4 linked regions of the Oreochromis niloticus genome follow. The protein of the gene in region 2 purifies or fractionates together with the protein of the main gene of each other region. This does not show direct contact. Links are inferred from orthologs where the notes say so. Each region holds a gene or a part of one and is shown on either strand. Other genes may lie near its edges.

Evidence for each region.
Region 1: the proteins of wwp2 (region 2) and ndfip2 purify together in Homo sapiens (affinity purification with western blotting; 3 studies listed by BioGRID and IntAct, with this or other methods). This does not show direct contact. The link is inferred for Oreochromis niloticus from reciprocal best matches to the Homo sapiens genes WWP2 and NDFIP2.
Region 3: the proteins of wwp2 (region 2) and amot purify together in Homo sapiens (affinity purification with mass spectrometry; 3 studies listed by BioGRID and IntAct, counting the BioPlex papers as one, with this or other methods). This does not show direct contact. The link is inferred for Oreochromis niloticus from reciprocal best matches to the Homo sapiens genes WWP2 and AMOT.
Region 4: the proteins of wwp2 (region 2) and polr2m purify together in Homo sapiens (affinity purification with mass spectrometry, with the first as the bait; 3 studies listed by BioGRID). This does not show direct contact. The link is inferred for Oreochromis niloticus from reciprocal best matches to the Homo sapiens genes WWP2 and POLR2M.

What each region holds. Positions count from the first base shown.
Region 1 is NC_031986.2:7,771,843-7,779,561, forward strand, and holds the start of ndfip2 (NEDD4 family-interacting protein 2), read left to right. Parts: upstream 1-4,714; 5' UTR 4,715-4,946; coding exon 4,947-4,973; intron 4,974-7,719. UniProt on the Homo sapiens protein: Activates HECT domain-containing E3 ubiquitin-protein ligases, including ITCH, NEDD4, NEDD4L, SMURF2, WWP1 and WWP2, and consequently modulates the stability of their targets. As a result, may control many cellular processes.
Region 2 is NC_031972.2:4,827,385-4,835,072, forward strand, and holds the start of wwp2 (NEDD4-like E3 ubiquitin-protein ligase WWP2), read left to right. Parts: upstream 1-4,670; 5' UTR 4,671-4,778; intron 4,779-4,858; exon of another isoform or gene 4,859-4,882; intron 4,883-7,576; exon of another isoform or gene 7,577-7,580; intron 7,581-7,688. Other genes in the region: diacylglycerol O-acyltransferase 1, read left to right, coding at 237-278, 380-424, 520-629, 709-774, 862-949, 2,457-2,519, 2,789-2,992. UniProt on the Homo sapiens protein: E3 ubiquitin-protein ligase which accepts ubiquitin from an E2 ubiquitin-conjugating enzyme in the form of a thioester and then directly transfers the ubiquitin to targeted substrates.
Region 3 is NC_031975.2:392,295-399,792, reverse strand, and holds the start of amot (angiomotin), read left to right. Parts: upstream 1-4,486; 5' UTR 4,487-4,801; intron 4,802-6,838; 5' UTR 6,839-6,900; coding exon 6,901-6,928; intron 6,929-7,498.
Region 4 is NC_031965.2:22,183,079-22,189,918, reverse strand, and holds the start of polr2m (protein GRINL1A), read left to right. Parts: upstream 1-3,819; 5' UTR 3,820-4,043; coding exon 4,044-4,153; intron 4,154-5,708; coding exon 5,709-6,293; intron 6,294-6,449; coding exon 6,450-6,672; intron 6,673-6,840. Other genes in the region: myzap (myocardial zonula adherens protein), read left to right, coding at 12-612.

The sequences.
Region 1 (7,719 bases), on a different chromosome or scaffold from region 2:
GTGCGCGTTTATACATGTGGCACAACAGCAGGAAGCGTGTGAATTATTGTTAATTACTATTCATGCCCATAAATCTCAATCTGTACCTGGGAGAACTGCATGCTTCTGTCTGAAGTAAGGAAACAATAATAAACAATGTTGGTCATTGCCACAATCAGCACCAAAGAAATGCACAATGTTTCTTTTAGACTGGTGAGTTCATGCAAATGCCAGGTCGGAGCAATGGCTTCTCAGCTGTCATCGAGCTTAGGTGGGGTACATGCAGGACAGGTCGCCAGTCCTTCCCTGTTATCCTCAATTAACTTACAATACATGCCTCTGCAGGAAGCATGTGAAAGAAAATTAAGGCCACTAAAAGAAAAAAACAGGGTGACCGTAACTGGTTTTTTTTTTTCATAGTTCTTAGATTGAACCATTTTCTTCTGCTTCTTACAGTCAAAATTCTCTACAAACTCAGATGCCAGCCCACTAGGAGGTTGAAATTCAGTACTTTCAGTCAGTGAAGCAACACTGAGCCAAGAGCACTAACCCCTGCACCGCCATCCCCCTACTCTCACACCAAACACTGCCTTTTGTGTCTTACAACCAGGATGGGCAAAAAATACTAGAAATTTCTGGTCAAACATTGCCCCCAGGTGGTGAAATTTCAAAACACCATTACCTACAATACCTTTAAAGTAAGTCAAATACCAGCCTGGGCTCACCTTCTAGAGCCGATCATCCACTAATCCGAAGGTTGGTGGTTCAACCCCTGCCTGGGCCAGTCTGGATACCAAGATACTGAATCCCAAGTTGCTCCTAATAAGCATCAGAGTGTGAATATTAGACAGATGGAACTTAGGTGCAGAAAATAGTGCTTGGGTGAATGAGGGAAGTTGTATACAGCTCTCTGAGTATTCAGGTAAAAAAGCTCTATATCAAAACCAGAACTGTATTGTCATTATTCTCAGTACTTTTACCAAAGTTAGCTCCACATGTCAGAGCAGTGAATTGCTAAAGTGTGGAGTGGTGCAAAGGTACTGCACACAATACTAGAAGAGCTACAGTATTAACAGAAATTCACTTTGAAATTACTTTAAGTATCTGCAAATTATTAAGTATCTGCAGTTACATATATAAATGTATTTATTTCTATAAAAATGAATTCAGTCCAGTAATAAGAGGTGGTTAGTTTGTGATATTACTCATTACTGTGACCCAAATTTACTCCTCTTGTTTTGAACTTTATGTACAAGTGCAAGTGGGTCACACATCGGTCTTAACAAATTAAGGCTTATAATTTGGCCTTAGCAAGTTACAGGCAACAGTCTGTGTTGTTCATATTTTTTTAAACCACATTTTCAAGGAAATACATCACTCTCTCTTGTTTGTTGGTTAAATTGAAGATTTATGATTGGGTGGGCCCTAAAGGTGGGCAGATCGATCCAAATGGCATCAATACCAACGTTGGTATTGGTATCGGAATGATAGTAGCACGATAGGACTGATACTTTGTTTCTATCCTCTGAGGTTAGTAAGTAGCCCACTAAATTGTCTGAATCTCTTTGTGTTCATTGTCATGTCTATTTTATTAATAACCTACTGCACATTTTAAAGCACAGAAGTTTAATGGAGAGTCCTTGCTTAAATGCACCTCGGGAGTTTTAGCTGTGGCTTTAACAGTGGTTTTACACCTACAGGAATGTATCTTCTCTCCTACTTGGCAAGTTTAGATAACACAATTTTAAATTGTTGTTTGAGTCGTCTTTTAGATTCCCTCCCACACAAACACACCCCACAACCCTGTAAATAACTTTCATTCCGTTCCTCACATGAAATATGCTCAAGAATTATGAACAATTCTTCTCACAGTGCATACATCGTATTTGGAAGTATATTAAAACCTTCCTCTATTGCCACTTCTCCACACATAAAATGCAAATTCAGCCCCAAATGCACGGCAGCTTGGCAATTAAATTGCCGCTTGTATCCTCGTGAAACTAAACAGATGTCTTCCCCCTGTAATGCACGATTCCATCAGCGTCTAACAAAGCGCTCACCTCCAGTGAAACAGCAAAGCTTTCACAGGCATGAGAATGAGTCTGCCACGCTGAAAAGCTGCAGTATCTGACAGAGACGCCCACTGTTTCTTTATATAACACCTTTTTATAGCACCTATTTACCTTGAAATGATGTTGCCAAGTAACAACATCCCAACTGTGCAGTGGCGGTGGGGATGGTGGTGTGTGGGTAGGTGTGGGTGTGTGTCAGTGATGGATGTCCTGAAGGGCTGTTATTGACTCTAAAAGTGGGGTTCTAACAGCGTGCTGGGCGAATGAATTCCAGTGTTTTTCGCTCTCATGCAGGTCTGCTGCTGCAGTAAAGGTGCAGACAGGAACTCATCCATCACTGCTGCAAGTTCAATCCTTAATGCTGCTAATCGCCTTGCATGGGGCCCAAACCTCTATGATGCTTCTACCCCGACCCCCCCCCCCTTTTTTTTTTTTTTCCTTTTTCACAAGTTTCTCCAACCTCTCCCACTCCCTCCATCCCCTTTCTCTCTCAGCATGAGCCGCTTAACTGATACATGTACTACAGTAATCCCTCTTCTTAGTGAATGGGATTAATATTTAATTCAAGAAGAGCCTTTTATCAATACCTCCCCGTGCCTTCTTTGTTCGCTCTGTTTAACCTTGTTTTTGCTTTTTTTTTTGGCAAATCCAGCAATGATGTATTAATGCAACAGATCAGAGCAGATGTAGTGATGTGGAGTTCAGTGCAGCAGAGCCAGTCACTTTGGTTAAAAAATGATACGTGTGGAGGGAAAATGCACGTATAGCAGTTTGGAGAGGGGAAAAAAATCTATTATCAATGCATCAAAAGAGCATTTCCTCAGTGCTCTGTTTTAATGATTCCTTCTGGTCTGTTAGGCTTCGACAAGAGACCAAGCTACTGCTTTTAATTCACCCTGCAACAGTATCTGAAGCTGTTTGTGCTTTATCCTTGAAACTCCAGCACTTGCATTGATAGAGGTATCAACCAGAGCCTGTTATGCACTGATCCAATCCAATGCTGATCCAGGATTAGCCGGGGAGGCGAGACCACATGACGGAGTAAACTTGAGAATGGAGGTAAAGAGTTTACCCCGCCTCCCCTCTGATCATATCCACACACATATATTTTAACATGATTTTTGATGGTGGGGATAGTGGAATGTTTCTTTTAGACAGTGAGCTGTCTAAATGCACTCCCATCCTGGAGCAAAGAGGGTGAAATCTATCTGAGGTTGCTCTCTGTGTGTGTTTGATAGTGTTTTGCAGTACTGCAAATTTTGGTATCAATCCAATACCAAGTAAGTACAGAGTCAGTAATGCCAATACCAATACCGATATTTATGTAGTCTATGTAGGGGAGACCAGTGTGTCATGATTGATGAAATGACTCACCAATAACAATAATTTATTTAACACAATTCAGTGTGTTAAACGTAGAAGATTGAAACAAAGTATCGCTCCTATCGCTCCAGTATCAATGCAATACCAATACCAGAGATGATATCTATATTATTGATAGGGGTGCTTGATAGCTCAGGACCTGCTTATTTGTGTTAAACAAGGAGGGATCTCACTTCTTAAGCTGCAGCAATGAAGTTTCCAGGGTTTTTGGTGAAAATGAATAACGATCTTATTTTATGTTCACCTTGTTTTTAGTCATGCAACAGGATGGTGTTGGTGGCTGATAGTGTGAGAACGTAGGCCTTGAGCTGCGATTGTTTTGTCAAGCCTGGAATCCTCATTTCCACATATTCAGCGCTTCCAAGGCATTCGTCTCACTACCGAAGGCCAGGTTTTCACTGCACTGCAACGTGAGTTATGGCAATGAGTTGGGAATCTCACCCAAGCCGATAGGCTTACTGCCAAAATCTTCCCCTTGACCCTGTTCTGCTGACAACTTCAATCATTAACTTCAGAAAAATGTAAAATGTAAAGCACTGCCAGAGACTTGTGTTTTTGTAAAATGCAATCCATACTTCTCTGATAAACAGAGGCATGTGAGATTCTTTTTTATGGATGGAAATGGGCCGTTGTGGTTCAGAGATATAAGAGGACTTTGGCTCCACCTAGTGGTTTCTCTCGTCAAATTTATTTATTTATTTTTGTATTTGCGTCATCACCCTTTCTCAATCCTTGGAAATCTGAGATCAACCCACCGAGGAAGGACTCAATTGGTCGAACGACAATTGGAACAAGAGGAAGTCGCCTTCAAAATAAAGCGTCTAGCGAGCGCTGACGGTGGTCTGAAATGGTACAGAAAAGTAAAAATAGAACAGCCATCTTAAAACGTTATGAACTGAATAACGTTAAAAGACAGTAACACATCACATTCACAGGAATTTCCAACAGATTAACTACCTAACAATTCGGATAGAATTGGTTTCGGATAGAAACAGAGTGTATTAGATATTAATATTATATTAATTTTACCTTTTTTTATACTTAGAATGAAAATATAATGCTAATATATGGTTGTTATCAATAATGATAACAGTAATAATAATAATAATAATAATGATAATAACTCTAAAGCTTAGGTGTAAACGTAAGGTAAATTAGATAAGTAGAAGATCATATATGCATTGATGAATACAACAACGACAACAACAACGTAATAATAACATTAATGCGCAATACCGATTATATACATTTTATTTTGAAATTTGTAACCGGAAGTGTGACATCTTTAGACTAGCTTGAAAGTGGGTGAAGGTTTTTACACAGAACGGTATTTTTCTGTGAATGCATTGTAGGTTGTAGCCATTTCTTTCATCGCTCAGAATCCGGTTCTTCAGCGTTGTTTCTGGAACCAACATCTCTTGTCCGTGACTCACACATCGGAGTAAACCCAAGTCTTATTTTTTTGATAGTTCTCACCGGCTGGCTCGTTTAGCCAGCTGAACCTTGTCGAAGATGGACCCAGCGAGCCGATACCAAGTGGTGAGTGGAAGCTGATCAAAACACCGTTTGATAGCTCGGCCTGCCACCCGTCACAGGCACCAGGCCCTTGCCAAAAAAATTAATGCTTATTGTTTGTATTGACTATTTAAAATGCGTTATGTGGGACAGACAAAAAGCCGCAAAAAAAGCAAACTTTCACAACTGTTGTGTTTTACTTCGTTTTTCCCCTAAATTAGTTTTGCTATGGTACCCAGCCTTTGATTAGCCACTTCCGTGGCCAGCTAACGCTGGCCAGCCAAGACTAGTCGCGAAGGCCGTTTAAGTGAAAATGCTTTTAACAGCGTTACACACATAAAATACACTCTCTAACTTGTAGTTACATGTGGACATTCAAACAGAGGTGTAGTTACACAGTTTTTGGCAGCATAAATTCTGAGAAGCTTAGCTGTAAGTTAAGTGGTTAGCATAGGGGTTTATTAGCTGGCTCATATTAAATGTGGTAAGAGGGCCTCTTTTTTTCCCCTCTGGTTGTATTTTTTTAAAGATGAATTTCCGGCTTAAACCGCAGCTTAAAGGGCTGGTACGAATCAAGAGAAAAGAATGACGGTGACAAATAAGTGTTAACGAACTAATTTTTTAGAAATATGACTTATATTATGTCTTCGCAGAATCATAAAATGATATAGTAATGCAGGGAAAAACTAATGCTACTACTGTTAGTCAAAGACATTAATGGATGCCAGCCTCAGAGTATGGCTTATTTGGTTGAACTGGCCTAAGCATGTGGAGTTTGTTCCTTCTGTTAATGTATTGTAACAGCAGTGTTGGTAAAACTTTGGAGTCAGCTATGAACCTTGGGAGATAAAGTATGCTTTGTGCCTTGTTGTTCTGGTATTATGGCTGATAATCCCACAGGATTCGGTATGAGCCAAGGCAAATCAGCAATGTCCTTTTAAACTTTTCAGCCCTGAACAAAGCAGCGATTCACACCAAGTTCCGTTTTTCTTTTTGGTTTTTTTTTTGGAAACTCTAGCACAATACAGTGGATTCTCAAGGATGGCTTGGATATAGCCAAACAGATGAGTTATCTGATATTGTGGTTTGTGAAAACAAACAAAAAAATATACTAATAAAAAACCCAGTGTTCATCACAGTATGCCTACACTGTCATCTCTTGCTCTGTTTCCTTTCTAAATAATACTACAGGTATGGGGCACTGCTGCTGTGAGGTTCGGGTGTATTTGGACACATGAGGAGGCTTGTGGCTATGTTGTTAAGATCTTATGTAATCCCCTGTGCATGCGCGGGGGTGCAGTTATGCTTTGTCCTTGATTCTGAGCCAGTCGTCGGCCGCTCATTCACTTCCCTGCCTTGTATGCTGACCCAGCGCTGGTGGAAGTTCAAAAGTCGGTTGGGACGGCCAAGATCTTAGTTTTTCAGAAGTCTATCGGTGTGGTAAACCAACAGATTTCACTGTGACTGTGCTTCTTAAAGAAGCTATTTAGATTTGTTAGTCACCTCTGGCTTTTCAACTTGCGTGATATCATTACTTATCACAAAGGGTGTTTCCCCTGTTTGTCGAGGTGTTTTACCACTGTTCGAAAACCACCATTACTTCATGGAAAAGGTTTCAAATGGTAGATTCACCTTTCAAAAACATCATTTTAAGCAGATTATCAGAATTGTGGAATGCAGTCCTACTGACGCAGAGTCAAAATGAGTTTCAAATGAAAACTTGCATAGCTTCAAGCGTCACAAGGCAACTAAAGTTTGCCGCCTTTTTTTTCCTTCCAACTTTTTACATATAAAGCAATCATTTTGTTAATCAGGATTTTTTTTTTTCAGTACAATAATCATGAAGTGAAAATCATGACATGCTGGGTTTTTAATTTTTTTTTAAACCTTTACAATCCTAAAGCAAAAATCTGATATCGGCACATGCTTAGTCAATATTTTCAGTTGATAAATCTGACATGTAATGAAGCTGAATGTCAAACCCAAACTGCCTCAAGCTTTGCAGTGACATCAAATCAGTCTGCTCTTGCTAACTGTAAACTTGGTGAATGTATCTGGCTCAAACATTAGAGGCAAGCATGTTGTACTCCCTATTAGATCAACACAAGTCAGCAGAACAGCATACCAATTCACCCAACTAAAGGTATCACTGTAACTGTTCACTGGTGATTGTGATCATTTAAAATTAAATTCAAGATTGTGTCAATCACACAGATCATAATCTCATCAATAATTGTACTTTTTGTAAGCTGAGTCTTCAACATCATACTTTTGTATGTTGAGTTCAATTTAAGTTGTTGAAAAGACAGCACGCAGTATACTACATTTGTGTTTGGGGGTTTTTTTTTCTTTGTTTTTTGCATGGCTCATCATATCCTCATATGCTCATCATTAAATCCACTGGTGCATGGTGTCGTTTCAGGCGGGTGATGTGCCTCTCGAGTTTGTTTGCAGGTTGAAAACACGAGTTGACCATTGTGGTGATTTTTACCACCATTTAAATGATCTATGAGTACAGAAGCATATACAGAGAAATGTTGCAAGTTTGTCTTTCTGAGGAAAATCTTTAAAAAGAAAGCTTGCAATTTCTTCACTTCTTGGTTTTCACTTCTCTTATATCATCGCTGGTGTTGAGGTTTTCTCTGAGTGGGAGCACCTGTTGTTCAGGACACTACTGTAGTGTATATTCGTGCCCTAAGAGCTGGTATAAAAGATACAGAACTGTGGTGACGTCACCAATGACGTGCAAAATGACCAGTGCAAATATATG
Region 2 (7,688 bases):
TATGACCTCGGGAGTTTAGAAAACGGGGTCTTGACTCTTTATCGTGTTCCTCAAAGAGGAACCAAAGAGACATCAGTGCATTTGATTCACCTCTCAGTGATTTTAATGTCCTGTCTATAAATGCGTAAAATCTTCAGCTGGTGTTTCATGGAGTAGGGAGTCATGGAAATCAATGACGATTATCTTCAAGAACCAAGTTGAATTTCATGATTCTTGAATCCTTTGTTTCCTTCTAGTGGATTGAACCCATCTTCCAGAGATCAGAAATCTCATTCTCTGTAAGTGAAACATGATCCTTCTAAAGTGTGCTCATTAAAACAAGGGCAGCTCCCACCCCTGCTGAGTCCACCCTTCTTTCTCGTTGTATACATTTATCCAGAGCATGGCCATCACTACGAGGGTGGAGCATCTCGTGGGACTGGTGGTTAGTGACTTTTTTTGTCCTTGGTCCATGATTCTTAGAGATAAGAGTTTGTATGTGTGACATATTGGCATTGCTAACACATACTTTCTTGTCAGGCACCGACCCACTTCCTCTGGCTCCTCTTCTTCTTTTTGACTCATTCCTACCTGAACTTCTGCGCAGAACTGCTGCGCTTTGGTGATCGCCATTTTTATGGAGACTGGTGGTCAGTTGTACAGAACATTTACTGTAATTTGTGTTAATTTTGCATCTCAGGATCAATGCAGTTTATATTTTATCTACAGGAACGCTACAACTTTGATTGCTTTCTGGAAGAACTGGAATATTCCCTTTCAGAGGTGGTGTCACAGGTATTATCAACATTTTTTGGTCTGTGTGCTTGAATGTTTGACATGGGGTTTTTTTGCTTACATGTTTTTCTTTTTATGCATAAAAAGACACATCTACACTCGTCTGGTGGAGAGGAATGTTTCCCCATCACATGCTGAGTTGCTGGTTTTCCTGATGTCTGCTGCCCTTTGTGAGGTACAGTCCATTCTTCTGACATCTTTGGAAAGGGGCTTTTAATGCTTCCTTAGCTCCTTTGGCACAGGATACATTGCACCATTGCTTATGGCAGCATCTGATTCTTACCTTACTGGTCTACAGTATCATATTTAAGGTGTTAGAGGACCATCATTGCAACCATAGAGCGTAGGGCTTGAACGTCAGGGCCTTGGCTTTATTGAATTTAGTCCCACAAATCTAGTATTTAATAAACGGGGAATCTAGCATAAGTTACAGCAATTTAATAACGTTCAGACTAAGTTTGTGCAGAACTGGCCAGAGACACTGTAAAGGGGAATCAACATCCAGTGGCTACCCCTGCTGGTCATTAACCAGAATGCAGGTTTAAGGGACTTCAGCATTTCTTCCCATTTCCGACCCAGAAGTTACCTCTGAATGATCTCATATACTCCATGATTGCAGGTGACCTTTCAAGGACCAAACATTGACCTTTAGCCCCAGAAACTTTGGTTTGTGTCCCATGTGAAGCTAAAAGTAAATGTGGAACTATTTTAGACTTGCTGAACTCATGTTTTCAGATTTAAAAATATCTGTTTTCACACTTCGGTTAAGTTTTCGCTGTAAAACTATTTCTGGCCTTTAGGATTCTTATGAACTGACTTTACATCAGTGACAGATGCTGAAAGACTTTTATAAAAGGGTGACATTTCTTAGGATTAATATCAATGTTATTTTGTTCTCATTCTGATTGTGCAATATTACTTAACAGTATGTAATTGAATGTTTGTTTCATTCCCCCATCATACGCTGCTACTCTCTTTTTATTCATTGCACAATACTATGTCACTTTTTTTATAATCACCTGCACTGATTGTTATGTTATTTATTTTACTGAAATAGTTATATTGCCATTTTGTTAGAGTTATGTGATATTATATTTGCACTATTCTATTGTATACTACTGTAAATTACTGCATCCTACCATTCTTATTGTATATTATTGTATATCTTTATTCCTCTGTTCCTCTGGTTCTCTTGCTGCATTTAGCATGTGTATGCTCAAGTTCTTCTTATCTTATCTTAACTGAAAATGGATTATCTTCTATACACGAGAAAATGAGCGGACTGTAGGGTTGTGACTGGTGAATGTAAACATTCCAACATTGGTAATTAAGTGAGATTTATGACCATGTTTATAACCTACAAGCTGCACGAAACACACAGAGCAGTCAGTCTGAGATGAGTTTTTGTAGTCCATCAGTGGGACATTGTAGTTTCACCACAGCTGACCCACGTCAGTGACATCCACCGTCACTTTATTAGGTAGTTTGGTTTCTGGAGTGTAGTCAGACTTCACATTTTTTCTTGACTTCATGATTTTTTTCTCCCACTGGGGAAAAGGAAAAGAGATTTGAGATTAGGATTGAACTGCAGCCCACTTCTATGCAATAGAATTAAGCTGGCACCTCTGGATAAACTTACAGCACTAATGAGCTGTGATGGTTCTCTTCTTTCTCCTACACAGTATATGATTGCTCTGCCCCTGCATAGCTGCCGTCTGTGGATCTTCCTCATGATGGTGTTTGAGGTGAGATTATTCCACCAGTGGCAGCAGCAGCTGCTGTGTGGGGATCCAACTTAATCATTCATGGATACATTCTATACCCTTTTATTTAACACTCTATAAACAAATGCAAAAAGGCTTTAAATGGAGACATAGATTACACGGTGAAATCTTAATCCTATTAATTAAACCTGATCCACTTTATTGTTTTTGGCCTTCCACACCTAACACAATGCACTGTGTTGCTATAATCGGGGCATGTCTTGAGCTGACACCATGCCTTCTCTTTGCAGCTCTTGGTTGCGGTATTCCTCCAGAACTATTTCCAGGGAAACTATGGCAACGGTTTAGTGTGGCTGTTCCTGCTGCTGGGCCCTCCTCTAGCTGTGACCACTTACTTTCACGACCACTACGTCAGCCTCCACATTAACCGTCAGCATCGCCCGTCACAGTCGCCACTGACATCAGAGCGGAGAGTTTTCCTGCAGCTTCACTGACTGAGTGAAGGCAGTCTAGCAGATATTCCTACACTTTTGCATTTATGACTGGACTGAGAATTCATCTGTGAGGCAACGCTGCACATGCCTGACGTTCCACTTTAGCAATACATATTATTCTGTGTACACCAAACCTGAGTTATGCTACTATGCATACACATCATGCTGATAATATTGGAATAAATGACTATTTAAGGTTTCTTTATTTAAATTTGTTCATTCATGCTTTCTGAATGTGGACAGCAAAGTGAGGTGGTGACTCAGCTGCAATCAGTTTGTAAAGGTCTTCCTGATGTGACCATTCCTGCTGTAATCAAGGTTGCTGCTAGGACACCGCCACATCAACGTGTGGTTAAGAGGCCTTCATTTATATAAGTTTACCGAATCACAAGAACCACAGACTGCCTTTTCTTATGTGAGTGTGCACAGAATCCAAAGCAGAAAGCGAAGTTCAACAGAAAGTTTATAACTTCCATCATGATACTTGTTATCTCTGACTGAGGTTTTAGGTTTTGTCGAGGCAGCTAACACAAAGATAGACTGGCGCTGTTGAATTTTGTTTGTAGTATACCCCTCTGATTGTTACTTGTTCAGGCTATCATTTTCAAATAAAGCCATCTGAGTTGCTTAGCCTCATCTCATCTCCTTGTCCTAGATCCTAGATGCATATATCAACATTCCCATCAGGTTCCTCTTCTCGGGAGGTTCTGTTGTGGATTAACATTTGCCATCTGAAAGGAATACAGCCTGTTCAACACTAAAATTACCTGCTCACTTGCCGCCTGCTGCTGAAGGACACAGTTACAAATTCCCACTTGCGCAGATACTCACTGCTCCCGTTAGCTGGTTCCCCAGACCTTTCAAATGCACTTACCATCTGTCATGGATGCAAGTGAAAGCAGGTGGACTCAAAGTGCAAACTTAAACAGTACAGGTTTAAACAGTTTGTTAATCAATCAGGATATTTACAGTTGAAGGAGGAGAGTGGGAGTTGGGGTAATGTACAGAAAATAAAATTTTCAAACTTATAACTTTTCATGCAGTTTCAAGATATTATTTTCAATTTTGGGAGACGGTAGATGCCAAAAACAGCTCAAGCTGATTTAATTGTGGTAAAAAAATTGGGTCAAGGTCAAGGTCCCACCAAATGTAAAAATCACTAAAAGCTTTATATTACCCACAATTTGTTAAGGATCGTCTTCAAACTTCATAACAACATACTAGGATGTGGGGGACATGAGTAAGAAGGTTGGCTAAGCATTTGACCTCGAACAAACTTCATATTTTTTCAGTAAGATTAGGGTTTTGTGTCTCCTCCTGGGATCAAACCAGGGATCATTCAGAGCTTAGATAAAGATGTAAACTACATAGAGATACACAAATTTATTAAAAAGTAGGGGTATGCTTTCCTCATGCCATATTTTAATAATTTTTCATGGTTTGTAAGAAAGCAAGAGGCCATAATATATGTATGTATATATATATATATATATATATATATATATATATATATATATATATATATATATATATTCAGCCTGATTCAGCCATGTTCGTTGTATATGAGGCTTTGTACGAAAAATGAAACTTATTGATAAATTCACATTTGTTTGTTTGTTTTTCACTGATTGAAGGTGATTTAAGGTAATTGTGTGGGCTGTTTATTATTGTTTTCGACCCACAATCCTTTGTGCAATGAGAACGCCATACCCTAGGTCACGTGATACTGTCACTGAGGCGGAAATGAAAGTTCACTAGCGATAGCGGCGGAGCACAGCTGAAAAAGGTACGTCCAGGATCACACCTAAGCCTAAACTATATCGTGTCAATACGTGTACCGTGGCCTGAGGAGAACCGTGAGGCTGTGGGCGAGGCTTTAGTTGCTGTCAGGTGATTAGAACGGGTTTTATCCGCATGTCCTTTTATAAAATCCCACCAAGAAGCTCGCTGGCTAGCTATTAGCTTCTTTTAGGTAAACTGGCTGAATTTAGTTGCGTCAAAGCGGAAGTGTGCTGGCTTTCTTTTCGAAATAAATGCGACTAGAGTTCGGCTGAAATATTCAGATTCTTAAAGATCAGTGTATAAATTGTGAGTCTCTAATACTTTTTTGTTTTTCAATAGAAGAAGATCACCTTCGCCAGTTTCATCTTGCTGATAAAAGGATTAATTTGCTGTTTTTTTTCTCCGCACTCTCAACGCAAACAAATTCAAACAAAACGAAACAGGAAATTTTATTTTGAAAACATGACCAGAAGCGTTAGCGTTTTGGTCGTCTGTCGTTGACGGTGATGCATACAAAGCTTGATCACCTTCCGCGTTTGTATTGTGTGCGCAGCAGCCAAAGGTATTTTATACGGCAGCGATAAAAGAGTTTGTCAGGGTCGTTTAAACCTCTCTCGGTTCTTGAGAAGTTCAGACAGCTCACAGCGGCCAAGAAACGCTGCGCAGCCTCCAGCTTCTTTCACAAGGTTGACGGAGGATGCTGTGCGCTTTTTGTTTTGGTAGCTCTCGTCTGTTTATCTGCAGCCTTGAGACAGACCTCAGGTGGATATTCTGGCAATCCAACACCCGGTTAGTCACTCTGACTCAGACCGGGTCACCTCTGGCTGGTTTTTGTCTTGGTTTCGGTTGCAGTGCCTGCAGCATGTCACCTTCAAAATGAGGGTCCCCTCCGCAGAGCAGTGTTAGAATCGGGGTTTTATGTTTAATTTAATTTTAATTCCTTGATGCATAGAGTACAGATCAGTATCAGCACACCTTCAGAGCAGAGTCCAGACTTGCTCTGGATTGTCTTTGCAGTGCTTTAAATTCAGCAGGGTGCTCTGACTTTGCTCAAGGTGATGTTGTTGGGGTTTGATGAAAGTCATGGCTTTTACTTAATATTACAGGGAGAACAACTTCAGGCTTTTAATGTAAATTCATTAGGACAGGCTACTCAGTACACCTTTAATCAGCGTTATATACTTTGTACTCCAGTGTTGTGATAAGTAGTTAGTGTCTTACAGATCACACTCAGAGAGTGTATAAAATAGTTCAGACAAGCTCCAACTTGGGGTAGGTAATCTCGCCTATAAATAATATAGTGATTCACCCTTTAATTTCCTGAGTGTTGTTAAAGCCCTTGCAATCTGCATGTACATGAAAACAATCCGGTTTAGTTACAATAGTGAAACAAGGTTTGTAATCACACCAGGGGAAGTGAACATTACTACAGCATCCATGAATTGTGCAAAAATGTGCCTGTAAAAGCTGTTCATTCATGTTGATGATGTGAGAGGACTCCTTAGTGTAGCCTGGGTCTGTGGATCTTCCCTCCTGATGTCTGAGTTCATATGTACTGTATTTAAATACAGCTGAATTCCCAGTGAATGTGCTGTGATTTAGTGTTTCTGGCAGTGTGATCAGAGAGGAGAACAAGTATGTGCACACGTGTTAACCAGCAAGAATCTACCTGTCTCACTCTATATTATTTTTGCATGCATGGGCCTTTTGTATAGTTTTAAAGTGTCTCATGGCTTCTGCCAGAATATAGCAGAATATAGTGTCCTACTGATTTCTGTTTGTGGCATGGAGGGGAATCTGTGTGTGTGTGTGTGTGTGTGTGTGTGCGTGTGCGTGTGCTTGCAAAAAGCAGTTTCCCTAATTCTAATTTTTTCAGTACCTTGTCAAAAATAAATAACAGAGGGATCAAATAGGCTGCCTCAATTGAGATCCACCTCCACTATCTTGGACTGGAGCTGGAGACGGCAGGCCCTGTTTGCTCTGTACGCTTGGTGAGCTATAGGGTGTAGCTTGTGGTTAAAGTGGCTCTTCAGCAGATCTTTACAGCAGTAGAACTACCTTTGCCAGGTGGAGTCCAGGAGAGAGCAGCAGACCATCCAGCTGTAGCGAGAGATCCTTTTTGTGGGAACAGCTGAATGGCAGTGAAGTCTGAGCCAGTTAGTGGGGGAAGCATCATATTAGAAAATGCTGAAACAAGTCGGTGTGTATACTTGGGTGGTCATTAAAATATCTGAGCTGACTGCTGAGTTAAGTATCTGTAATGTCTGTTTTTGAGTGTTTTAATGTGACCATAAAAATAAAATAAAGTCACATAACTAAAGCAACAAAATAAGCTTTTTGCTGTGTTAAGAGAAGGTGGATATTTGGCTGTAGGGAGTCATTGAGTCCCACTTATGACTTGGATCTAACGCCACAGTTTTTAAAGTAAACATCGGGCTCATTGGCCTTAATGTTTGCACAGCTGCTTTGAAACAAACTCCATTTGGATGTTTTCTTCCAGATGTTTTGGCATAAATTGTCGTGTCTTGAGGAAAAACACCCGTTACTATCATCACCTGGTACCTGTTGCTGTGGGTGGAAGAACTCCACCTGTATTCTGCTGCTTCCTGTTTATCATGTGTCTCTCTCTGCTGCTGGTGAAAGTGGTGATACGACCTCTCCAGTCATTTAAAAGACTCAGAGTTCCCTTCTGTTAGTGGAAATTTTGTAACTGTGGAGTTATAAGTGATGCGTGATTGCATGTCATGATGTTTTGCCCCGTTGAATTAGGTTAGCCCAGCAAGCTTTCTCTCTAATGCTGCAAAAGGTGTTTAGGCAACGTCACTTATCAGTCCCCTGGAGTGAGTGTTTAAGGACTGGAGGTGCAGTGTGGTGGGAGTTTTATGCTTTTCTGTCTGAAGGAGGGGTTATGTTA
Region 3 (7,498 bases), on a different chromosome or scaffold from region 2:
TCTCTCCCTCTCTGTTCCTCTCTCTCTCTCTCTCCCTCTCTGTTCCTCTCTCTCTCCCTCTCTGTTCCTCTCTCTCCCTCTCTGTTCCCTCTCTCTCTCTCTCCTCTCTGTTCCTCTCTCTCTCTCTCTGTTCCTCTCTCTCTCTCTCTCTCTCCCTCTCTGTTCCTCTCTCTCTCCCTCTCTGTTCCTCTCTCTTTTTTCTCTCTCTCTCTCTCTCCCTCTCTGTTCCTCTCTCTCTCCCTCTCTGTTCCTCTCTCTCTCCCTCTCTGTTCCTCTCTCTCTCTCTCTCTCCCTCTCTGTTCCTCTCTCTCTCCCTCTCTGTTCCTCTCTCTCTCTCTCTCTCCCTCTCTGTTCCTCTCTCTCTCCCTCTCTGTTCCTCTCTCTCCCTCTCTGTTCCCCTCTCTCTCTCTCTCCCTCTCTGTTCCTCTCTCTCTCTCTCTCTGTTCCTCTCTCTCTCTCTCTCTCTCCCTCTCTGTTCCTCTCTCTCTCTCTCTCTCCCTCTCTGTTCCTCTCTCTCTCCCTCTCTGTTCCTCTCTCTCTCTCTCTCTCCCTCTCTGTTCCTCTCTCTCTCCCTCTCTGTTCCTCTCTCTCTCTCTCTCTCTCCCTCTCTGTTCCTCTCTCTCTCCCTCTCTGCTCCTCTCTCTCCCTCTTTGTGCTGACAATCAAGCCAAACACCAACATCATCAAATATACAGTGGAAACCAGATATTTACACACTCTGCAGATAAAAACACAAACACTTTAATTGTAACATCAAATCAGACTAAATGATTATTTTTTTTAGATTGATAAATATAAAAAACATATTTGTTAACTTTTGTATTTTGTATTCAAAACTGAGCCACACTTATGGAGCTCCACAGTTCTTTTCCTGGTGTTTTGGTTGACATGTCTTGATTTTCCCATGTCAAAGAAACAGGCTCTGTGTTTTGCCTTATATGCATCCACAGGTGTGCCACCAATTTACTCACATGGACTCTACTAACCAATCAGAAGCTTCTTAAGCTCAGAATGGAATTGTCTGGAGTTTCCTTATTAATTAACAATAAACTTAGTGTATATACTCCTAAATTTGATGAAAGTGATTAAAATAGACAGCTCCCTCTTTTTATTCTGACATTTAACTAATTCAAAAGATATTTCAACATTTATTTATCTAAAACAAAACAAGTTTACTCTAAATTGATGTTTAACAGTAACAAAAAAAGTTTATGTTTTCTCCCTAAAGTGTAAATATCTGGTTTCATCTGTGAATATACTGCTGTGTATTGAAATTCCTCTTGTCTTGCATAGATATACTAAACAACATACAAAGCATAATATATAAAATAACATCTACCTGAGTTTTTTCTTTAAAAGAAGCTCCTTATGTCCATTCTTGTGTTCATCAGTACACAATTGAAACCGATTTAGAGAGTTTGTTTAGCCGTGGAGGGTAAGAACTGAAAATATGAAATGTAAGCTAAGACTTTCTAAAAAATCAGCACTGTCGTTCGGCATTTTATTTATCCATTTGTTGATTCACTCAAAGAGCAAATAACGCAGTAATATCGGTTTGATATCAATCTTTTGTGATACACCGTCATATTTACATTATTTGTACAGTACGAATGATTTGTTTTGGTACCTGGTCAAACTTAAGCTCTCCTCTGTCTGCAGCAAACTTGCAGGCAGCAGCTTCTCCCCCCTCGCTCACATGGGTGCTGTGCTCAGTCGCCTAGTGCCTGAGCTCGGATCATACCAAAATTAGGGGGAATTTACGACGGTGCGCTCTGTGCTTCGTGTGTTGTTTTTGTTTTATACAGTTGTCAGTCAGGCATCTAACTAATAAATTACACTCCAAAAGACCCCATGCTTCTGAAAAAATGACTCGAGACCAAGACCGGTCTCGAGACATCCAACTCTACTGTTTATAAGGTTGGGGAAACCTGCGGTCAGCTGAGCCTGAAGAAGTCACCTGGGTGAGTGATGAAATGTTTCTCCCACTGAAAACATCCAGATGAACAGAATCAACTTTTTGCTTACCTAGATGATTGAGCATGCATCAACACACTCATTTGTTATCTTGGCTGTGTGGTTAGGAACGTTGTCCTGTTAGAAGATGAACCTTTGTTCCAGTCTGCGATCCATAGAGCTCTGGACACATAACTGCATTCATCTTTCCCTCGACCCTGACTACTCTATCAGTTTCTCAGTTCCCTCTGCTGAAAAACATCCCCACAGCATGATGCTTCCACCACCGTGCTTCACTGTAACGATTTTATTGGCAGGCAATGAGTGGTGCCATGATGCTTGGCATTCAGGCCAAAGAGTTCAACCTTTGTTTCATCAGACCAGAGAATTGTGTTTCTCGTGGTCTGAGAATCCTTTAGGTGCTTTCTGGGAAACTCCAGGTGAGCTGTCACCTTCCACTGAGGAGTGGCCTCAGTCTGACCATTCTACCATACAGGCCTGATTGGTGGAGTGCTGCAGAAATGGTTGGACTTCTGGAAGGTTCTCTGTCCACAGAGCAACACTGGAGCTCTGTCCGAGTGACCATCAGGTTCTTGGACACCTCCAGCTCTAGGTAGAGTCCTGGTGGCTCCAAATATCTCCCATCTATGCATGATGGAGTCCACTGTACTCATTGTACTTCAGTGCTGCAGAATCTTTTCGTACCCTTCTCCAGACCTGTGCCTCAATACAATCCTGTCACTGAGGTCTACATACAGTTCCTTGGATTTAATGGCTCGGTTGGTGCTCTGACACCTGTCCATAGTTTGGACCTTACAGAGACAGGTGTGTACTTTCCAGATCATGTCCAGTAAACTGAATTTACCACAGGTGGACTCCAATCAAGTTGTAGACACATCTGACAGATGAACAGTGGAAACAGGAAGCACCTTAGCTCAGTTTTGAATGTCACGACAAAGGCTGTGAGTGCATGTAATGTTTTTGTTCTTTATTTTTAAGAAATTTGCAAGAACATCAAAGTCTTTTTTTAACTTGTCATTTTGTGTGTAGAATTTGAAGTGAGAAATGAATTTAATGTTTGAATTAAGCTGTAACATGAAAATATGAGGAAACGCTGTGAATCCTTTCTGGATGCACTGTAACTTGTTTCTGTGAATGATTGTTGTTGTTCTCTGTCAAAGCCATGCAGTCTGCTGATGCACTGTTGTTGTCTGACCCCTTTGCAAAGACAAATTAAAACCTCAGAGTGACAACCTGTTTGTGCAGATTCATTTATGTCAAATTTCCATAACATGGTATGGGGCATTTTAAAATGTTTAGTAAACCAAAAAAGTGGTCCTCATAAGATAAGTACGAAAATATTCAATATAATATGTGTATGATATACAGAAGCTGGTTCATTGGAAATAACTGTTAAATGAGTGTGATCCGGTCAGCCTGTGAGGACCCCTGCTTAACCAGCTTCTCTTTAATCCCACTAGCATGGCTAAATCTGTGGTAGCCTAGCTTATAGCATCAACTTGACTAAATATGTTCATTCCTCCTGATGTTGACTGCGGTTGGTGAACATGTGTGTGTGTTAGCCAAGACACGGGGAGAGAATGTGTGATGTTGCGTTTGTCCCATTACAACACAGTGATATGGGTCCAAGAAAAGATCTGCACTGGGCGCTAATAGCTAATTCAAATGTAATAGAGTTGAATAAAGCAGCGCCACCTTCTGGTGAAGATGGCCTACATGTACTGACCTATATAAAGATACAGTGCAGATGTCACAGAGCCCACTCTGGTCAGAAATCCTGCAGCCGTAAACTGACTTCACAGAAATGACCAAGAAGCTGAATGGCAGATGGCAAAGCTAAAATGCCAGTAAGTGAAAAGAAGTAATGTAAAAAAAATGAAAATCACATGATGAAGAAGCAGCCCTGAAGCCCACCATAGAACTGTGGAGCAGTGGTTAGCACTGTTAGCTCACAGCAACAGGGATCCTGGGCCTCTCTCTGTATACAGCACTTGTTTAATGATTGATAGTAACGCATTATTATCGTCACAGGGTCGAGGCAGGGCTTGAAACAGATGGTGCTAAATGACTGTATGTGGATTTGGGCTAAATGACGTGAAGCAAAACCAACATATGTGCACCTTCTCACGAAATTCCGACAGCACTTAAATGTAGCAGAGCTCCGCTGGGACGGACAAAGCCCTCTTTGTCACTTCTTCCCCTTTTTCAGCTTTTTCACTTGAGCCTCTGATTGTGCCGGGAGTGTCCCAGTGAGCACATTTAAACTTTTATCTTTAAACTGTGCTCGTTAAAACACCAAGTCGCCATCCTAAACAGCCATTTCAAATAATAATAAACTAACACTTGATCGTGTTTCATGACACACTTCGGGCGCAGAGTTGAGCTTTTAACTTTTTCCTGCTGGTTAGACCTTTGTTAGAGCCCAGTCTGGAGAGCAGGAGAGAGAAGGAGGGATTTCCCTGTTCCAAAAACTTTTTCATCCAGTTTCCATTAAGGAGGGGGAGGGAGGATGGACATTCCTCTCATACTGAGGCCAGGCGGTGTGTGTGGGGGGGGGAGGAAGGGGGTGCTTCCTGCTACTTCTCATGTACCGCTTCTTTCTTTACTCTCAACATGGAAAAAGACTCCTTGGCCTCGAACAAACTCTTTTTCCCGGTGAAAGAATAAAAAGCCCACGGTGACGTCCAAGATGGAGCGGCTGCAGCAGCGCGTTTCGTAACTTCAGGAGGGTCGGTGCGTGCCGAGGAGACACGACAGATCAGCAGGAACCGAACAAAAGAATGTTTCATTGGAATCAGGGGCTCGGAAAGTAAACCAAGTTCTTCAGGTAAATCATTTACGTGTGTGTGCGCACATTAACCGGATGCTCCGCTTATCTTTGTCAAACTGTTTTAGTCCTGCTGTTGTCATTTTACGACACACAAAACTAAACGGCTGAGAAAAAAAGACTTTCAGCTCGTCGTTCGTAAAGCTTAGATTGGCTTCGGACTCAGTCATGTGTGCTTTGAATTAACTTCAATAATCAGTGCCAATTCACTGACAGCGTGACGTGTAGGTGGGTGTAGCCTTTACTGCATCCTGGCCTTATCAGCAGGATAAGTTAGCTCTGTATGACATTTGAATGTGAACGTGGGGTCCTTGGAGTGGGTCCAGTCTGAAGTGGATGACACAACAGTTGTTTTGCATTCACAGCGTTGTACTGTCAATGATCACATGCGCACAGTAATCTGCTTATGTGACATTTGTACCTCAGAGTGAGTAACAGTGCAGTGAACAAAAACTAAACTGTAAATCTAAACTTTAACTGACCAGATAAACAAGAAAACTCACTCTATGGCTTTTTGCATAGTAAAATTTTAATTGGGAAATCCATCCATCCATCCATTCATTCATTTTCCCAACTGTTTATCCAAATTGGGCACGCCTTGTCCCACGAGCCTGCCCCAACCCTTACAGGGGGTTCGGCATTTCCACATAGCATCATCGCTTTAGTTTCTCTGTTGACACACACAGACTAAATTCTGATAATTGCCATTTAATTTAAGACTAAACAAGATTGAGTTTAATGATGAAGATTAATTTGTATTTGTAAAATATTTGAAATTGTAGCTTTTAAATGAGCTTGAATTGCCATTAATCACAGAGACTAGGACAGGGGTGTCCAACTCCAGGCCTCGAGGGCCGGTGTCCTGCAGGTTTTAGATGTGTCCTTGATCCATCACAGCTGATTTAAATTGCTAAGTGACCCCCTGAACATGTCTTGAAGTTCTCCAGAGATAATGAACTAATCATTTGATTCAGGTGTGCTGACCCAGGGTGAGATCTAAAACCTGCAGGACACCGGCCCTCGAGGCCTACAGCTACAGTTGGACACCCCTGGAATAGAAGGTGTAGCTGTACAGTCACTGGTCCTTTCTTTTGATTTGAAGATATTTGTTAACAGCACTCTTCAAAGAAAGACATTTGCTGCTCCAAAATTTGGAGTTCAGCTTGAGGTCAAAGGGGGAGTCCATCCGAATGTCTAATGTTAGGGTAAGAGTTCCTTTAACTGAAGGGGCCGGGCCCAGCTCCTGTAAAACAACCTCGCACCGTGATCCTCGCTCCACCAAACTTTACACTTGGCACAGTGCAGTCACACAAGCATTGTTCCCAAGTGTAACACTGAACTGGCAACTAGCAGAAGTAGTGAAGGTAGATGACTTTAATCCCTGGGGTTGGGAGGTCAGAGGTAGAGACTAGCAGCCGGGTGGTTTTGTGACGGAAGGATCGCAGCTCAGGAAAAGGGAGGATTTACAAAATGGTGTTTAGATCAAAAAGATGGGAGATGGAGCTGTTCAAGTTTTCACTGCGAGTGAGCAGGATGGACAGGACAGAGCTCGGGCTGAGATGGTTTGGACGAGAGCGGCAGCTTATGATTATTTTAGTAAACAAGTATTCCATTTCTTTTTCGAGTAATCGGATAAGACATAGTTTTGTTTTAATAATCAGCAGTAGTAAATAAAAAAAAAATACAGGTCCTTTAAAATAAACTCCTAATTGGTTTTCATGCTAGAAATGTCAGTGTTCTTCATAGTTTAACTAAATAGAAACTAAAGGAAGTGAACCCGCAATTGTATTTACACACATAAAAGAAAGAATTCTGAGAATGAAATGTAGACATGAGGTCACAGGTCAAATGTTTGGATGCAATGTTGGATGTGATATTTGGAATTCCCATATAAATGTTACCAATCCAACCAGAGGCACTGGAATTTAAAGCATAGTTTTAAAGTTAAAAGACATTTTATGAAGGTTTGATCTTATTTGACCTTAAAGAAGAGGTCAGAGGTCACATTGTAATGTAACTCCTGTATCTTTACTGTAGAATTGAGTAAACCAAACAGTGGTGGATGGGAGAAGCTCAAAGGTTTGCTGATCAGTGGTTTGATGGAGCACCCAGCTTTTCCCTGTAAAGGTCTGAATGGTTATGACAGTAAGAAGCACTGCTAGAAAAATGTTTTCACTCCACCAGAGCTCGTTCTTGTGGTAATGGTTACGACTTTTTTCTCCTAATCGTTTGTGTGTAGACAAACTTCGTGTTAAACTGTGACGTTTATTTTCACTACTGCTGTTGTTTTATCAGCCGTAGCAGCCAGTTTGCTAACATGTCAACAGTTTGCTAATTGACCGGGATCATAGTCTGACTTACAGCTGGTAACCCTAACCCCCACATACAGTTTACCCCTGTTATCCTTTGTTATCCTAGTGCTAACCAGGCCTGACCCTGCTTAGCTTCCAAGATCAGAAAAGGCTGGCTCCAACTTTTAATGTGCTATAACTTGTTTTCACCAGCCACATATCCCAGTATGTACTGCACCCGTGTGTTGTACCTGATTCTTGAATATTGTATCTCACAGTTTAAATATCTGCGGTTGCTTTAGCATCATTCTGCTTGCTTCTTTCATTTTATGTGTCATGAACAATCTGCACTGATCTTGAGTAACATCTGCAACATGAACGACTGACACTTAGCACTCTTCTCTTA
Region 4 (6,840 bases), on a different chromosome or scaffold from region 2:
TGCTTCTGCAGACATGAAGCACAGAGGTTTGATGTTGAGCCTGTTCAGTGTGAACCAACTCATCTCTATCCCATCCAACCCCCATCACCTGATCATCCTCTATCACCTGTGAAACTCCCATCACCCACTGAACTACTGTCACCCACACAGCCTTTATCACCCACTCATCCTCTATCACTTAGACCAAACCCTTCCTCCATAGCGCCCTCATCCCTGGCACAACCCTCATCATCACCTCCCATTCAACATCCATCGCTCTCCCTAACACTGCCCACTCAGCCAAGGACGTTTAAGCTTAATAACCCTCCCCCCAGCAGGCTAGAGTCAAGTTTACTAAGGTACACTCCTGTCCAGTACAGCCGCTTCCTGGATTCCAACCCCACACAGGAGCGTGGGACATTCTCCTACATCCACCCATCTGAGTCTGAAGCTGGTGTCAGTCCGGTCCAGCCTGGAGGAGACGAGCTGGACGCACAAACAAGCAGAGGCACATGCTCCATACCAGAGGAGTCCACTTCATCCCCACCTTCTTCTCGACCACGATCAGGAGTGCGAGTTTATACACCGTTCATGAAACTAATGGAAATGACAGCAAAGATAAACATAGAGTAAAGTTAAAGGAGCAGTCCTGGAAAATACATGAGCCCAGACTTAATCAAGGAGAGTCAATGAAACTATGAAGCCATTTAGCTTAGTATAATTACTGAAAACAGGGTAAACAAGTAACGCACAAACTTCTTTTTATAAGCAATAAAAACAGCCTGAAAACGGGAAATTAGAGTAAAAACAACATTTTATCAAACTGGGAGAGGAAAAAAACCTGGAAATGAATAGAAACTCATGGAAGTCATTGTCCCCAGTTACGAACTAGTTTGATCCAGATTCCCTGTCAGATGGTGGCTTCGTTTCCATGTGGATGACAACACGAGTTAACAGTTTAATTACTTTTCTTTAAACTTGTTGACAGATGGATTTTATTTTCTCTTTCCTCTATTTTTTTGTATCAGTGCTAAGTACAGAGCTAATCTGTATATCAACAGTAAATATGTAGCTAAAGCTAAATAATAGTATCCTCTAACTCAGTCTATGTGTGCTGAGAAAGAGACAAGCGTATTAAAAAACTGGTTGGAGTAGTGCAGTAGTAACATCTTTTATTATTCTCTTACTTGACCTTAACGTTTGCATACTATACTACCATAAAATTTTTGACAGCAAATTGTAAAAAATAACAGTCTTAAAAACAAATTTTGATAATGTAATATGATAACATTACTCTGTGTTGGTATAACATAGAGTAACATTAACTTTAGGATTAAAAGTGAAAACGCAGTGACGTAAAGTCAGGTAAGCCATTAAAACATCAGCTAGTGTGCTTCAAGAATACCACTGACTCACTATGCAAGAAATAATAGTATGTAAATAAACTACGTGGACAGAACTACCAACCTAGCTGCACATTACTCACGTTTTGATATCCCCGTGTTGATGATGTCCCTATATCATCATAATAATGGTGATCCAGCATCAACATTACACCTGACCAATGACAAAGGAGCATTTAGTTAGCCGAGCATTAGCTTAGAATTTGGCTAATGCCTAGCTAATGCTTGTTAATGCCAGTTAGCTAACAGCCAACCTAACTTGATAATGTATTTATTACATTGCATAACTTTATAAAGAAAATATTTAATAAAACACAAAGTGATTGGTCAGTTGCAATGTTGATCCTGGACCAACATTATTATGATAATGCAGGGACAACAGGAACACTGGGATAACAGACACAACACACAGCACACCTACAGGAGCTGCTCTGCCATGTAAACCCATGCAACAGTAGCATTAAAGTGTGCTCTTTGGAACAACCAATTCTTTGTACATGCAGACTGCCTGGCCAGGTATTTGACTTTATACACCTGAATTCAAGTATTAATAAGAATGGCCCAATATTTATGTCCATGTAGTGAATATAAGAGGGTTACTTATGCAATCAGAGCCGTTAATCTTAACTAGACCAAAGTGTGGAATTTTCCCCTTAAACTTCGATTGTCTTTGGTCTAATTTTCACAAATATCCCTTTAAAAATGTACTAACACAAGAATCTGTTTTACATAATTTTAAAGCTGGCACATCCATGTCAGTAATATCTCACTTATTTATGTCGGAGATAATGATTTTTGGCCAGTGAAGCAAAAAAGTCTTATGTGGGTTTCTGTCCCATGTTTGCACATAGCTCTAATAATAACAAAAGTAGCTTGCTGTAGGATGTAAATGATGTGATGCTATGTAAAAAATATTTTTCTAACTGATATAATATGGAATATATTTCTTCCGTTTACAGTGAATCTGTTCTATTCATGTTGCTCACTGAGCTATGAGCATTCAGTCCTATATGAAGGTCGATATGGTTATTGTGTGTATTTTCCTATCATTTTATATGTGCTCTGTACAAATTAAACATATGATATTTTGTTACTGTTGATAATATAATATTTATTATTATGGTTTGTGCCTTTGTGACAACCTACTCTGTGGTCCTGGTGGTGGAAGGAAAGCTATTTTAATTGGAAGCAGGGTAATATGGCAAAATAGGACGTGGCAAATTCTTGAGAAATCTGTTATTAACGATATTAACTTTAATAAGGTGACTGCCGTTCCTGAGCCACTGGCACAAGTGTTATCCAGGTGTCATCTGTACTGCCACAGCTGTGTTTGAAATAGTTTTATGATGTGCCTTTTCCTCGTTGATACATATAATACTGCGATTAACGATGAGAGGCCAGCATCTGTTTGGATAATAAAGACTGTGCAAATGATCCTGAATGTGTCACAAGATGGCTGCACTTACAAGAAAGAGTCTTTTAAAATCGGTTTGTATTTCTTTTATTTAGTCACACACTTTTATATAAACATGCATGAATGGCATGAATGTGTGTCTACAGTGTAATTCTAGGGCTTTTTATGATTGCATGTGCACATATCTTTAAATTATCAATTTGTAGTTGCTGCAAGTTATTCACTGCATAATGAGCTGTGCATTGAGTAATCAAAATGAGCCATGATATTTGCCCACACCAGTCATGATCAGGAATGTGGAGCTGATATAACAAGAGCTACAACAAAAGAATAATTTACAGGTTAGTGCTATGAAGGGCTGAAAGAAGTAAAAAAAAATCTTTGATTTTCAGCTGAGATGTCCGTGCATCCATATGTGTGAAACTGCATGAGGACAGCAAGACTTTGGTGACAGAGAGAAGCTGAGGGATGAAGAAGAAATTAAACATTTTGGAGGATTAGGGCAGGACTAAAATAATAAAACTTAATGCTTACTTTGATTACAACTGATTAATAAGGATAAGCGTGAAAAAAGAAGCATTTCTCTTTTTGACAGTATCTGGGATACTTGAGAAATAGGTCTTGGAATAATACATTCTGGAAAAATGGGAAACTTTAAACTTTGACTTAGAGTCTGAACTCTAAAGGTAAAGTCAGAGACTTTGTTCCAACTGTACAGCTGCAACCAAAACTGACTTTGAACTTTGACACAGGCTGGAGAGGACACAGCTGTGTTTGGGTCATTCATTGTCAGTTGAGCTGAGTGAGAAGTGGATCGGAAAACATCCGGACAGGAAATGCAGCTGTGGAAAATCTGAGACACCAGCCCAGTCCAGACTCTGTACTAATCGCACTGCTAAGAGAGAAAGCTCTTGCATCCAGGCTGGTTACCACGTTTGACCGGCAGAGGGCAGCAAATAAGCCTCACAGTCTTTACAGGGAAGAGGTGTGTTACCGTGTCCCGTTCAGTGGGGGCGATAGAGGGCTATTTTTTTCACACAGGAAGAAGAAGAAGGGTCCCACTTTGAAATGTTGTGTCATGTGTTGAAGAAGTGAATTAGTCACTTAAGGAGTTTTCTGAAGCTCTCTAATAATAAAGGAATCAATCAACCGGTAGATTTACCGTAAACCTTCGTGTTTACGGTGAAGTTTAAAGCGGGCTCGTGCTGTTGTGGATGGCTGTAGCTAGCTTACTTTAGCTAACAGTGATGTCCTCGTCGTGGACAGAGCGCCAGGGAGAGGTGGGAGACCTGGGACACCTGAGTAAAGAAGAACTACAGGAACTGCTACTCCGACAAGAAAGGATACTCAGTAACAAGTAAGTTTAATCCTTAGGTTGTATGAGAGAAACGTGACACTTATGCGCACGGCCATCCCGTTAGCTTTGATCCGGTTTGATAAAGTGACTTCTCTGTGTTCAGGAATATGCACTGAAACTAAGACAGAGGATCTACTGACAACGTGTTTATATCAGTCCACTTTGGCTCAGGTGAAAATATGAAATGCTTTTGTAAAAAACGATGCACAGGCGACACTACTCTGCTGTAACACGGGGTAAAAAACAAAACAAACACACACCACTCTCGGTCACTTTGTTAGGTACACCTGTAAAACTCGTTGTCAAGGTATCACGTGACAGCAACACGGTGCATTTTGGCCTGTAGACATGGTCAACAGCACCTGCTGAAGTTCGGTTTACAGATAATGATCCAAAAAAGATAAAATATCCAGTAAGCGACAGTTCACTGGGTGAAAATGTCTTATTGTTGCCAGAGAAGAATGGCCAGTGTATTTTGAGCTGATAGGAAGGAAAATAACTACTCCTGACAACCAAGGTATGCAGAAGAACATCTCTGAAGGCGCAAATGTCCAACCTTCAAGCAGACAGGCTACAACAGCAGAAGACCACACTGGGTGACACTCTTATTAACTAAGAACAGAAAATTGAGACTTTACTTAGTACAGGCTTATTAATAAAAGACTGGAAACATGCTGTCTTGTCTGTAAAATTTCAGTTTCTGCTGCGATCAGACATTGGCTTAAACATGAAAGCCTGGATGCATCCTGCTTTGTATGAACAGTTAAGGGAGCTAGTTGTGGAAACAATAATGATGATAATGTTAGGGACATTTTCATGACACACTTTAGGCACCTTAGCACCAGTTGAGCATCATTTAAACTCTGTAGCCTACCAGGGTATTGTCGGTGACCATTTCCATACTTTTATGACCCATCTTCTGATGGCTGTTTCTTGTAGAATAATACATCATGTCATGGAGCTCAAATCATTTCAAAGTGGTTTCTTGAACATGACAGTAAGCTCACTGTACTCAAATGGCCCCACAGCAAGTTTGTGTTATAGTTAACTAAAACTAGATGTAAAAAAACCGAAACATTTTATTTAACTAAAATAAAAATGTGGGGCTGTTTTCTAAACACGGGTGCAGTCATTTCAGAATAAGGTGCAAAAAAAATTTTTTTTTTCAGATCTAAATATGTAGTTTGTAGTAAAACACATGTTGCTGGCGTTGGTAAATCAGATTTTATGCTTTATTTAAATTTTCTACTCCCTATATTTCACACCTTGACAAAGAAACTCTTTTTTAAATACTTTTTTTAAATGCCAAAACCCAGTTGTGCTGGTGCAACATGCTGGTAAATCTGGCTTTAGATCATCATCACTGCATTAGTATCAGCTTTGACTGCCATTATCAACAATTAAGAGGAAAACATGGCATGTAAGACTTTTTCTTATTTGGGGTCAGGGAGGGGTTACAGACGTGTATGTGTCTGACATTTAGTGTGGCTCTGGTTGTGTATCGAAATATTGTTTGTAGAATATTTTTGCAATGATACGTTTGTGTTGTTTGCAGGAGGTTATTGCAGACTCTACCTGACAAAGGGAAAAAGATAAAAGACTTTGCAGATAAAGTGCGTCTTGCCATTGATGATCACAGTGAGGAGGAGAGGAGACGAAGCCTAGTGTCTGTTGCGAGGACAGAGTTACAGTCCAAGTACCAGCAGGCTTTTGCTCACCGGCGTGCTGCCTCCATCACACCAGCAGCCTCACATCAAAACAGGCAAAATGAGGCTGCTGCACAGGAGAGCGAGACCTCACCTGCCTCAGCGCAAGTGCAACAAAACCACACTTTGGACGAGCAACGAGAGTCGTTTGTCTCCGGAGCGACTGCTGTGGAAACCATGGAAACGGCAGCTCGTGGGGCCTCTGTGAACTCTGATGAAACAAAAGAGGGTGACCTTGTGGAGGCCCTGGAAAGGGTCACGGTGTCTGGAACTACTACTGGTGGCAGCAGCGAATCCAAAGAGCCATTAAACAGCAGTGCAAGAGACAATTACTTTCTCAGAAAGCAACCACCAAAGAAGCCTCACTATATAACTGTCCTGGAAAAAACAGAGAAGTCTGCAGCTCCCAGGAAGCAAAAATTTAAACCAAATCAGTGAGTGGACTTTATTTACTACTTCCTGAACATTTCCAACAAAAATGCTCCAATAATCCAGATTTTATTCAGTAAGACGTTTGACATAGTTCTGCCTTTTTGTCCTCTGTGTAAGTTAGCTGAGTGTAAATAATATGCACCTTAATGTGTTTCCAGGCTGCCTCATAGAAGTGACGTCTCTCCATCAGGATCCTCGTCACCCAGTCAGTCCTCCGAAGGCTCATCGCCACTGTCTGCGCAAGCCAGGAGGGAGCGGGACAGAAAACACCTGGATGACATCACTGCTGCCAAACTCCCCCCTCTCCATCACAATCCAGCCCAGCTCCTATCTCTGGAGGAGTCAGCCGCACTGCTGAAGGAGCAAACCAAGAAACAGCTGGTTAGTGAGGCCGAGTGCCTTTCTAAGGAGGCTAAACAGGCTGGGTGGAAACAGCCAGTGCCTCACTAGATCACTTAGCAATATGGTTCAACCAAAGCTGTTCTGAATGTCTCCTTTTATACAAGAAATACATTTTTAATACACATAAGTTATATGTAATATTTGGTA